3 linked regions of the Arabidopsis thaliana genome follow. The protein of the gene in region 1 interacts with the protein of each later gene in a pairwise test. Each region holds a gene or a part of one and is shown on either strand. Other genes may lie near its edges. The genes, in order: AT3G51660, AT5G64160 and ZW9.

Region 1 (3,762 bases):
CCACTTTCGCTTTCCTAGCTTTTCTAGAAAACTGAATATGAACACTACAAAAAATTCTTATACATATTTTTCTTTTCTTTTCAAAAAGGGATTATTAATTAAAAAGTACAATAATATATATATATATATATATATATATCATGACATTAATTTCATAAGGACAAAACTTATCAATTTTCTATAGCTTTTATTTTATTAAACCTTTTCACATGTTCTTTGATTTTTGATATACCAACCTTATTATAAATTTTTCTTTCCACTATGGCTAAATATATGTTAATTTCAAAAATTTCAATCTTTTATTCTTATTTGTTTATTTATCTATTTTTGTCAATCTCTTCCTTAAGATAAAAGATTTCTACTAAATATTTCAAAAACTATAAATTGTCAAAAAAAAGGTTTGGCGTTTCTTGATAACATGGTGGACCAGTATGTGCTAATTCTCGTGGACAGACTTCGCTTTAACAATGTTTGAAAATTGAAACCTTTGGCTTTAGAGTTTACTTTTGACTTAGTGCTTACAGAGGAACACTAATCGATTACGTACACTTTAATCATACGGGATTTTCCTTAAAGACAGCCTCTGTCCCTGTTTCAACAATTTGCTATTTTTCTTCTTCTTTCTTCTATCAATTTGGTTTTCTTCCAACGACTTCTTTTATCCATTTATACTAGTCCACCAAAATCTAACTAAAAACAACAATTTTCTCATGTGTAACCAAGCCCGGCCCATGTGTTCTGAGGCCCCACCATACGCCAAAGATGTTTTGATGGTCCATCAGTTTCAAAAAATCATGGAGAGAAAACTTCGAACTAGATTCTTCTTTATTATTTTCAACCAAAGTTGCTGATAAAATTCTTAAACATTGTGGTGACTTCCAAATTGCATTATATCTCTAGTGGTCCTAACCCTAAGCTTCTAGTATTCGTGCTTAGGACCGCGTAAGCATATAACCTCTATCTCTTGTTGTTAACCCTTACAAGTCATGATGCCTTTTCCATTTCTTCTTGTCCTCGTGACTTCATCCCAAAACCAAAAACTTTCTGTCCATCAATTAATAAAAAATATAAACTTATGGGGAAAAACACGTGATAAAGTAAATGGGCAAGGGATCCGGACGGTTGTGACTTGTGAGACACAAACCGGAATTCGACGGTTTAATTATTAAGGCAGGTTGTCGGTTTTACTAGGTGAATTTTATGACAAGTCGACTCAAACCGTGTTAGTCAGTGGATCATAGGTGATATGTTTACGGTTCAACATACCGAACTTGTCCGGGTATGACTCTACATGGATGAAAAGTTGGCTTTCGATATAGGCTCATGGTAAGTCCTATAACGAACTTATACCAAACCTTGAAATAAACATGTGTAATAGTCGTTGTTAGATAACCCATAATCGTTGTTAATACGAAAATATGGAACCATAAATCTAACGTTTTCCACATTTTAAAACTGATAACTGATAAGATTAATTTGCAGATAATACGTATCGTTGTGGGTAACCGGTTTATAGTGACAGTTGCGAAATAAACAAATCTTTTTAAGACGAAGTAGCGGCGCTACATACGCACCACATGGATGTGTACGAAACACACAATTTTAAATAAATGGTCAATGATCTAAAACATTTGCCCAAAAAAAAAAAAAAAAAAAAAAAAAGGTCAATGATCTAAAACGAATCTCGTAAACATTTTCCTAACCCATTACGGAGAAAATACAAATATTAATAACATCAAGTTTTTATCCTTTACCTTTATTAACAAAAAATTATGGACTTGGTTTTTTGTGTGTGTGTGTGGTCCAATATGGTATGAAATCAAATTTCTTCGAGGGCGACGTAGCTGCGGTAATTGATTGAGTCACGTCCCCAAGTTGTCAGATTTGAAACTCAAAGATATTATTTCAAAAATTGTTCACATCAAAACGAAATTTTAAAATAATGCAATACAATAATTTCTTTCATTAATTTTTGGACGCGATAATTTAGCTCTATATATAATTGGCCATGTGAGAGATCTTCTCTTCCACAACTTCCAAACACCATTTAAATCCCCTCTCATTTGGTTTCTTGAGATTCTTGCAAACAAAGCTTAACGGGCGTTAGTATTCACGGTGAGAAAATGCCTTGTCTTTACATTACAACAAACGTCAATTTTGACGGCGTTAACACCGATCCGTTCTACTCCGAAGTCACCAAAGCCGTCGCTTCCATCGTCGGACGACCTCAAAACGTAAGAACCTCTCTTAAACACTAATCTCTCTTTCCTTCAGAAATTTCCTTTAAGTTTTAAAATCAGACAAAAAAAAAAAAAAATCCTTGACTTACATATATCAGATGCACTTTTGTTATTTAATGGAATTCAATAGTGATCAAATACTCTATCCATTCTAAAGTTATTGTAATGCCTTTTCTATCTTTTTTATATATATTAGAAAATATAAGATAATTGAGACGTCATATAATAAGCATTGTTTACTAGGTTTCACGTAAATTGGCTTCAGAATTGTAAGAAGAAAAAAAAGTCAACATCACAGTTATTGATTTATTAATATGTATACTTGACCCCTCAAACCAAGATATATTTTTATGTACAAAAGAGGAAACATCGATATTAATAGCATGTGGCCAAGATTTTTTTCCTCTAAATATCATTCTATGTGTTGGGAAGATGTAGGAGATAACAAATATATCTTCCAATTTGTATATGTTTACTCAATAAACGAGTTATGTCCATTGCAGTTAGTGATGGTGGTGTTGAAGGGATCAGTAGAGATAGTATTTGGAGGGAACAAAGAAGCAGCTGCATATGCAGAGATTGTGTCAATGGGAGGCATCACCAAACAAGTTAAGAGAGAACTCATAGCGACCGTTGGTTCTATTCTTCACACTCATTTTTCTATTCATCCCACTCGTTTTATCTTTAAAGTTTTTGATATTAATTCTTTGCCTCTTCCTTCTAAACTTTAGTGTTATGATCTTTGTATTGTTCATCAAACACAAATTATATACAGACTCACATGTTATTCTTTTCTTTATGAGTCTTCTCTATTTTTATGTTTACAAATCTTTTACTATTATATCATCATTCATGTAGATCTTGACCCTATAATCTTAATATAAAACTTGAAACAAAACATACCGAGAGATGTCCTAATCTGAGAGACATAGACTAAGTCTTTGGACTTGTAAACTTAATATAAAACTCTTTTTTTTTTTGTCATTGTCAAAAAAAAAAAGACTAAGTCTTTGGACTTGGTCATAGTTTCATAATTTTTAATCTACTTAACAATTTTGAATTAGAGAAGAAGTAGTCTCCTTGAAGATTAGAAACAAACTTTGAAATCATTGAGTTTCCGGTTAGTAGAAATCTATGATTCCATCGTTTATTTTCAAATAGGAGCTAACATGAATGAATGAAACTTGACAAAATAATATTCTAAAAACAAAATCTTTAGTCGTACAGATTAATTCTTGTTTCATATGATTGGGGCCAACAATTGGTATAGTACACACACGTTCTTGATTTTGGACCACAATAGAATGGTAGAGATATCAAATAAGGGCAGAGAACTTTAAGATGAGGTTTCAAAATCCAACTAAGCATGTAAAAGAAATGCTAAACATTTTGAGACAACGTTTAACCGGTTTTATGAAGTCAGTCACTACAATTAACAATGGCCGACGAGTCTAATGTTACAATCAAAACTCACGAAATGGAATGAAGTCTCCTCGTTTATCTGACTAGCGTGGCTAAGTAC
Region 2 (4,269 bases), on another chromosome or scaffold:
GATTGATTCCAGCAAAATCAGAAACTATCTTCAAATCAGAGAAACAGTCTTTGAGATCACTGGTCATCATGTAATCTACGATCATCTTGCTTTGCTTCTCTCCATTAGTCTGCATCATCATAAACAAATAGGATTAATCTTTCATGGTTGATGTGATTATTAGTATATACGCAAACATCTTCCAACCAAATAAACATATAATGAAAATTGACCAATCAAGACTTTGATCTTTGAGTGGCAATCATAATCTTCTTAGAACGCCAAATTCTTACTGATAAAGTGAAAGCAACAATAAGCAACAATTGTTTCTTCGGACTCATACACAAGAACGATTATCTTAAATCTCTTTTCAATACTAACATTTCCGGTTTTAGTATCAGAGACAAAGAGAAAAACATAGTAAACCCAAACGATTGTATCTTTCTACTAAATATTTTGGAGAAACAGAGTGAAAATAAGGTAGGTACCTCGAAAACGAAAAAGCCACCAGGTTGAAGCATCCGAGAAGCCCCATGACAGAGATGAAAAAGACTATCAGTTCCATCAATACCACCATCCAATGCAAGTTTCGGTTCGTGTCTACCAACTTCAGCTTGTAGGCCTGGAATGTCATCACTTGGTATGTATGGTGGATTACTCACAAGCCCCACAAGTTTTCCTTCAAGATCTTTCAAAGGCTCAAACCAAGATCCTTCTCTCACTTCAATCATCCCCTGGATAAGTCCAATTTCATCACAATGGCAAGAAGTAACCAAAGCTGAAGAATCTCATACATATATCAAAATTCACAACCACCATGAGAAGAAATCAAACTGAAAATTCTTCAATCCACAATATACTGCTTTTATCTACCAAATCCTCTAATCCATTACAACTTTGATGTTGAAAATTCCCAATTCCATGAATACAATTGGTATAATTTGTCATGATTAGCTTTAGCAAAAAAATCAACTAACCTCAAGGCTGTATCTCTGCACATTGTGGCCGGCGACGGCGATCGCCACCGGACTGAGATCTGTAGCTATAACTCTCCCACGGCTTCCCAAGACTTTAGCAATGCCGATCGCAATAGCACCACTTCCTGTCCCAAGATCAGCCCAAATATCTTTCTTAAACCATTCATCTCTCGTTACAAGCTCCTCCACCATATCGACGATCAGTTCCGTCTCCGGTCTCGGAATTAGAACCCCTTCCTCAACGCACAACACTAGATCTCTCCAATGCTCGCATCCGACGACGTACTGAAACGGCCGACGCTTCTCGATCCTCTGCCTCCATAAATCGTAAAGCTCCTCCAACGACGCTCTCAATTTCACATTCTTCTCGCCGTTGTCCGCGATTTCGCTTCTATGAAGAATCACTAAAGGATCGTCTACGATTGAGTCTTCGATCAGCCATTTTAGCTCACGGTGGAGAATGACAGAGTCAAGAGTATCTTCGGAATTCTTCGAAGATTCCTCTACGGAGGACGCCAGATCTTTCGCCCAGTCGTGCCATTTCCAAACCTCCGATAGAGAAGTTGCGTGCGACGGCGTCCTAAGGTATAGCGGTGTCTTGGGAGTTATGCTGAGAGACTTAGTCGGCCGAGAGGATTTTGACTCTGTAAGCGACGTGTATTGCGGTGGTTTTTTCGCCGGAGAAGATGAGCAAAGAGGTTTAGCGGCAGAGAGCAAAGAGGTTAACCGTAGACTTGGGAAGATTCTTATCATTTCAAGGTTTTTGCCGCACAAACAGACCAAATCGGTTTATAAATATATTACCAACTAAACCGGATAATCCGGTTCTGTTTTTAGCCGGGTTTTGAACCGAGGATTGAAATAAGATTAACAAGGAATATAAGGGGCTAAAGCATAAATAAAGAAAAGTTCTTCTTATTTTTGTTTGCGGCTCCGATAGATCTTTGGAGCAACGAACAAACATGAGCTTGACGCTGCTTCAAGGCTATTCTTCTGCTGAAGAAGAAGAAGCAGAGGAGAGAGCTTTTGGGGATTACGACAACTCCGACGAAGATGGGGATAATGATGTTCGGAGATATGAATCGTCTTCTGTGTTTGATTTCTCTGCATCTGCCTCCTCCGCTAAAAACGCCGGCCTTCCTTCAGCTGACGACGTTTTCTCTCAGGTCTTCCTTCTCTTTGATTTTGATTTTATACACCTCAATTCATCGAATTGTCGTTTTCCTTGAGGAGATTCGCTGTGAGATTGAATGGTTTCTTTATTATAGATGAAAATAAGTTACTTGGATCTGTAGATTTGATGTGATCGGAATTTAGGGTTAGGAATCCTGAGACTAGGTTAGGTTTGGGGTTTGAATAATAAAGAGATCTTCTGATAGTGAAAACTTTTCAGTGTTCGTTGGCTTGGTTACTTCTTACTCGAAAAGCTTATAGTGAATGATTCTTTGCTTCTATTGAATTTTGCAGATTTCAGGGCCACCGGAGTTTCTAAACAACCGCACAGAAGCAGATAATGAAGCTTCAGCTAGAGATGCAGAACATGCAAATCGTATTAGTCGCAAAAAGAAGAAAGTTAAACCAAAAGGTAGCCACAACTCTTTTGCATCGTCTTAGCATTTTGGTTATAGGGAATGGTACATCTTTAGATGATGTTGAAGAATTTACATCAGTAGGTTTAAAGTTCACAAGATTACGGATTTGTATCTCGAAAATATATGTGAATGTGGATTTAGCTTTAGAAGCTTGTTTTGATACTTAAAGCATAAACATTGTGAAATATGAAACCAGGCACTTTGTGTTGTAATCTCTATCTATCCAGTTTCACAGTTCTGTTTATGGAACTGTTGTTATCTCTCGATCCAGCCTGATGGTTTCCGTTTATTGGCTTGTAGGTGTTGTCATGGAAGCAAAACCTCAACTAGTAGGAATCCATGAGAGAGTAAGAAACGATATTGATGCACCCCCATCTTCAGAGAGTGGTGAAAAGCGGATATCTACTGCAACCAATCCTAATGCAGAAGAATCTGCAGATCTCTTGAGGTATGAATAACCCTTGCCCTCTTCTTCATTCTTTAGTATAAATTTGCACAATGTGAGCTTGATTAGGATTTCTATGATGAGTTTAGGATGTGTGTGCAATGCGGTGTACCGAAAACATATACAAGCGCAAGAGGAATGGTATGCCCGATTTGTGGTGACCGGCCATTACCGGACGTAGACGCGAAGAAGAAAGGCTCTACGATCAAAGATAAAGAGAAGAGCAAAAGAATGAGAGGACAATCTTCTCACGCTTCTTGGAAAAGTGAAACCGAGATGCAGCTTAGGCAAACTTTCGATTAGTGTTTCTTTTACCTTTTACTACATTTGTACCATCCAAATCCAATTTCTGTAACGTAGCTTGTGACACAAAGGTTAATCTTATAATTTGCTTCGGAATGTCTAATTTCATCATTATTGAAATATATATATTTATGAGATCATCAAATATTTATTGGAAAATAAAACCCTAAAATTCGCTATTTTGAAAAAAAGAGAGTAAATACACAGCAGAATATTTTATCGCATTACAAAACGAACTAACATCTTTATCTACAGAATTGCTATGTCTCTACTTCTTCCTCTACTTAACAACTTGAACAGATTACAAAGGTAAAGAACATATCTTAAAGACCTGGTTCGAGCAACCAGGTGTACAATCAGGTTCGAGCAACCAGGTGTACAATCAGGTTCGAACCGAAATCTAGACCAGAAAGTTATCTCAACACATAAATACAACTGTGTTACAAAATCCATGATTCTAATGAAGAAGCAGTCAGGATTTTAGTAACTAACCTGAGCAATTTCGCTTAGCCAAAATCGAGATTAGTGTTAACAACAATATCTCGAATGCTTCAGCAATGAAAGAGCCAGTTTTATTTGACATCATTAATTGTTGTCACTTGTTACAACTTCTGCTTCGGGTCTAAGTTCTGTAGTTTCCTCTTGTTTCTCTATCCTCAGGCTCGGACTACTATTGGGCTGAGGAATCTGTGTAGATAGTGATGGGTAAAATGAGGCACTGTGTTTTGCACATTAAATGGCGGTGTAAGAATCGAAGGTTTAACTTACCATTGGATGAGATTTATAAGACAGAACATTGTTATCGGATGAAAGAGATGAGTCTGAGGGCCTGTGAAACAGCAAATGAGCTATCGATCGATCTATCGGGTTTGTATCAGTTTCGATATCCATGAATCCAGCATACCTGGATGAGACCACATACAGATATCAAAGATTAGAATCTAAGAGAAATGAAGGACGAGTACAAGAGCCC
Region 3 (4,846 bases), on another chromosome or scaffold:
TACATATACATTTTTGCAGCCATTTTAACAAATAAATCCTGAATTTGGACTTATTTACAACTCAATGCCATTAGCATTAAATCTTTTCTCCAAAATAATTAATTTTACTTGATTTAAATTGTCAACCACATTATCAATCAAATTTAACCCTTAAAATTAGCATAAACATATTTGTTAACAATATTTTAAAACAAAGTTTTTTGTTAAAACAAATATTATTCTTACTAAACATTTTTTGTTTAAATAAATAAATCATGTATTTGAACTTATTTACAATCTCATGACACTGACATTAATTATTTAGGAATGAAAATATTTAATTAAAGATTTAAATCTTCTAAATCCTTGCTTTTAGAGTTATTATGTCATTACCTTAAAGGCTCAAAATATAAAATAAATAAATATAATTATTTAAATATTTTAAATTTATAAAACATTATTAATATTTAAAATTATAAAAAGTTTAATATATCATAATTTTTTAACATCATTATATAATATATAAAGTTTAAAAAAATCTCTATTCTTTCCGCCATAATTTGTGATTCGAAATTTTAAAAATAAACATATATTAACCAATTGGCGAAAAATGTTTGAGTTCAACGTCCCACATCGACTAAAATATTTAGACAATAATTCATAAACATATCATAAATAAGATTAACATTAATAAAATAATGGTTTTTTTACGGGACGGGTTTGGCGTGACGGGTTTGGCAGAACGTTACTTAATAACAATTGTAAATTATAAAATAAAAATATTTTATAGATAGATACAATTTGCAAAATTTTATATATATTAACTTTAAAATATAAATTGTCCCCGCGGTGTACCGCGGGTTAAAATCTAGTATTGAAATATTTTGGTTTCAATTATTTATTTATCGGGAATTGATTTTGAATTGGTAGTGTGAATTATTGGTGTCACTGTTATACCGCGCTGGCAATTAAATCGATAGGGTCATATAGATGTCATTAGGTAATCGCAAGAGTAATATATTTTATGGATATGGTAAGGGTTGATGCTTTGTCATGGTTTTTATTATTATTATTATATATAAATGTAAATATTAATGAAATAGTGTGTATATATATATATAATAGTTTTGGAATTACATGATGTATAATGTATATAGGGGTTGAGAGACCTATGACCGGTCAAAATTTGGGGGCCAAAGTAACAAATTATATATTTGGGGTTATTATAAACTGTTTTGAAATTTGGATATATTTTTCTTAGAACTAAATATATTTGGAAGCCTATTTATAAATCAGGTTTGCTGTAAAAAAAAGTTTTTAAAAATGGAGACAACATACAAATGTTTCATGTTGCTTCTTTCAGAGCCGGCCCGGGAGAAGCGTTGCCAAAAAAGAATAAAGACAAAGGTAACAAATAAACAAAGAAGACACAACAGTGAATTCATCTAATCCAAAGTTGTATGTGGTTTCCGAAATGCTTCCTTTGTCTTGTTCCGAATCTCTCTGTCGATGAACTTGAAAATGGTGTTTCACGTTCATTCAATAAAAAATAACAACCATAGTGTACACAGAGACTGATAGTGAAATAAAGGAAAAAAAAACTATAATCTGTTAAATTCAGATAATATCTATTATTTTTTTGTTTTGTTGAAAAATCAAATCTCTAGTAACATTAATGAGTATGAATCGTGTCTGGTAGTTGGTACGAATCGAGATCTCATCAATGGGTTTTTTAAGCTGCTTTGAGACGTGCGTAACACGAAGTTGTCCACTATGACTTGCTCTTGTACTTATAAGTTAAAATAATGATGCAGCAGAAAACAATTACTATTTTGTGAGACACGTATATCCCAACAAAACAATATGTCGTAGAACGTGCTAATTAATTAGTGAATACCTACGTGTCACGATCTCATGAGATTGGTGTATTACTGAGAACTAACGATCTCATGAGATTGGTGTATTACTGAGAACTAATCACTAATAAACGTGAATCTCGTGACACATATTATCATTATGCCTATATATACGTACATAAAACAAGACATTATTACAAACACAAAATATAGAAAAAGAAATAATGTATTCAGAGGAAAAGAAAAGCAGAAATTATGGTTCAATCTTTGTCTACTGCTTCTTCTGTTTCGTACTCATTGTGGAGGTTGCAAGATTCGCAAAACCTTATATCAACCTTCAAAACCTAATTGAGACGGAAGCAGTAGTAGAAGAAGGTTTCATGGCGGTGGGGAACTCAGGGAATCTTCCGTGTGGCTCGTCAAAACCTAGCTCTGCCTCTGTTCGTGCTCATGATGAACAGAAGCTCTCGCAAGCAGTAACAACAGATACGAGAACTCGTCCTCCAAATTCGTACTGCGTGAAGTTCCAGTCTTTTGTCACTATGGCAAAGCAGGTCAAAGAAAACGGTGGCAAGTATGAGTCACGTCCTTTCTCCGTCGGTGGATACAATTGGTACGTACGCGTTGACTTCCATTTCAAAAATGTTGAGAAACCATACCTTATACATAGAAGATATACATTTTTTTTTGTCAAAGGGTATTCATTTATATACTAGTGTTTTGATCATCTCCACTTTCTATGTGAAAGATTTTAACTTATTGCTCTGAATCTCACCCAAATTTTAATTTGTATATAATTTGACATATTTCTACTTAAAATGTTATAAGGACGCTCCTAATCTACCCAGTCATATACATTCCAACGGACTCGGGTGGGTACGTTTCGATTTACGTAAGAGTCGATAACTCAAGCCTCATCACCAATCCAAAAGATGTGTATGCAGAGATCACATTCCTCGCTTATAAAAGCAGTACAGACAAGTACCAAATAAGCCAGGGTACTAATTAACTAATCTAGAGCAAGTAAATATATATGTTTAAATCTTTTGTGGTTTGTTCAGACTAGTTATTTAAGTTTGATCCGTTTGCAGAGACTGAGGCCCAGCGATTTCATTTGTTTAAACAACAGTGGGGACTTTTACAATTTCTACCAATTTACTATTTTGAAAATCCGGCATATGGATACTTTTTCGAGGGCGAAAGCGTTGTGTTTGGCGTTGACATCAACATTGTTAAACCCTTTGAAAATTGGGAAGTGTTCTCTAATGAACAAAACATTCGTGACCCTATTTTCGAATGGAGACTCACCAAATTCTCTACACGTTTTCTTGACTCTTACACTTCTGATTCCTTTTCTTCCGGAGGAAGAAACTGGTACGTGTGACTTTCTTCCTCTTGTATATATATAACAATACGTACAAGATGTGTTAGTTTAATAATATGATGGTTTTTTACATTGAAGGGCATTGAAAGTGTATCCAAATGGAGTTGGAAATGCTACGGGTAATTCGTTGTCACTCTATTTGTTGAGTGATCAGTCAAATGATAAGGGTTATGTGGAAGCTAAGTTACGAGTTATTGACCAGATCCAATCCAACAATTTCGAGAAAAAAGGTTTGATATCTACTTTGTCAACTACTACTACTAATTTAAAGCTAATTAATTATAATTAATGAGCCTTTAAAAAATAAAAATAACTTTTGATTTCTTCCTATATACACAGTGGCGGCATGGCCCAATGCAACGGAGAATGGATGGGGTTTCGACAGGTTTCTATCATTTGCAGATATCAAAAACACATCAAAAGGTTTCCTAGTCAACGATACTCTCAAACTTGAAGTCCAGATCTTGTCCTTCTCGAAAACCGACTACTACTCTCATCAATCGTCTCTTAATGTTTTAACGGGAGATAGTACTTAGGTGACTAATCGTCGCTAGTGTAATTTTACAACTGGCTACTATCACTTTGCTTCATTGTGTTTTTTGTTTCTGTTCAATAATAATGAGTTCGAGCTTTCCTATGTCAAACTTGATCAATCTGATTTCACATATTGAATACCAAATTGGATAGGATGAAAGAGGCAGTCCCTAGGATGTTTTTTTTTTTTTTTGGATTTAAAGATTGGGTACGTAATCCATTCACATTTCCTTTTATAATTGTCCACTTCTTAATCGTTTAGTCGATCGTCTACGGCTTCAATAATTGTAGTTTTGTCCTTAGTAATTGATTATTCTTTTCACTTCGTTTTTCGTCCACTAATACAATTACTACAATGTTGTTCTTCTCCATAAACATTATCTACATCGATTCCTCTCTATTGCTTGTAGTTGTACAGTTGTCTACTGCGCTTAAACTTTTTGTTCACTTTTCATTTATGTTCCCGTCCTCGGCTTCAACTACTGTACTTTTGAAGATTTGTTAGATATACTAGGAACATGAACTGCTACTAAAAACTTGTCCACGGTTCCATCTTCGTGGACATCTGTATTTTGTTTACTTCGTTTCTCGTCGACTGCTACAACTACAGTATTGTTGTCCATCATCCCTTCTCCGATACATTATCTACATCCATCTTTCTTCGTTTCTCGTCGACTCCTACATGTTTGGGTGACAAATCATCAAGTGATAAATTATTATTGTATTAAAAGCAACCATTTTTATTGTATAACAACCATCATAACTTTCTTTCTGTCCACATTTAATGTGCCACGCCACACCATCATCTTATCTAGACGTCAACTGCTTTTGGCAGAGGTGTCAGCCTCATTGGGCGAAATGTTTTGTTTCCCTCCATAACCAATTAAAGGTAGTTTAGACATCTTCTCCTTTGTCAAAAGCTGACTCATTGCACAATTTTAAAGATATAAAAAATAGCATTGCCGACAAAATATTTATACAAATATGGCACAATTGGCAAAATTCCCTTAAAAAACATAAATAGTACTTAACAAGATTATATCACTTGATGATTTGTCACCCAAACATTTTCTAAAAATTCTTGATCTGAATT

Evidence for each region.
Region 2: the proteins of AT3G51660 (region 1) and AT5G64160 interact in a two-hybrid assay, tested with the Arabidopsis thaliana proteins (one large-scale study listed by BioGRID).
Region 3: the proteins of AT3G51660 (region 1) and ZW9 interact in a two-hybrid assay, tested with the Arabidopsis thaliana proteins (one large-scale study listed by BioGRID).

Annotation. Positions count from the first base shown.
Region 1 is NC_003074.8:19,163,438-19,167,199, reverse strand, and holds AT3G51660 (Tautomerase/MIF superfamily protein), read left to right. Parts: upstream 1-1,877; 5' UTR 1,878-2,123; coding exon 2,124-2,234; intron 2,235-2,743; coding exon 2,744-2,971; 3' UTR 2,972-3,205; downstream 3,206-3,762.
Region 2 is NC_003076.8:25,669,023-25,673,291, forward strand, and holds AT5G64160 (plant/protein), read left to right. Parts: upstream 1-1,907; 5' UTR 1,908-1,918; coding exon 1,919-2,122; exon of another isoform or gene 2,123-2,196; intron 2,197-2,423; coding exon 2,424-2,541; intron 2,542-2,848; coding exon 2,849-2,996; intron 2,997-3,082; coding exon 3,083-3,296; 3' UTR 3,297-3,688; downstream 3,689-4,269. Other genes in the region: AT5G64150 (RNA methyltransferase family protein), read right to left, coding at 1-109, 468-713, 957-1,709; AT5G64170 (dentin sialophosphoprotein-like protein), read right to left, coding at 3,882-3,983, 4,065-4,200.
Region 3 is NC_003070.9:21,611,303-21,616,148, reverse strand, and holds ZW9 (TRAF-like family protein), read left to right. Parts: upstream 1-1,979; 5' UTR 1,980-2,059; coding exon 2,060-2,448; intron 2,449-2,663; coding exon 2,664-2,833; intron 2,834-2,926; coding exon 2,927-3,209; intron 3,210-3,297; coding exon 3,298-3,449; intron 3,450-3,558; coding exon 3,559-3,755; 3' UTR 3,756-4,346; downstream 4,347-4,846. Other genes in the region: AT1G58265 (Cytochrome P450 superfamily protein), read right to left, coding at 4,761-4,846.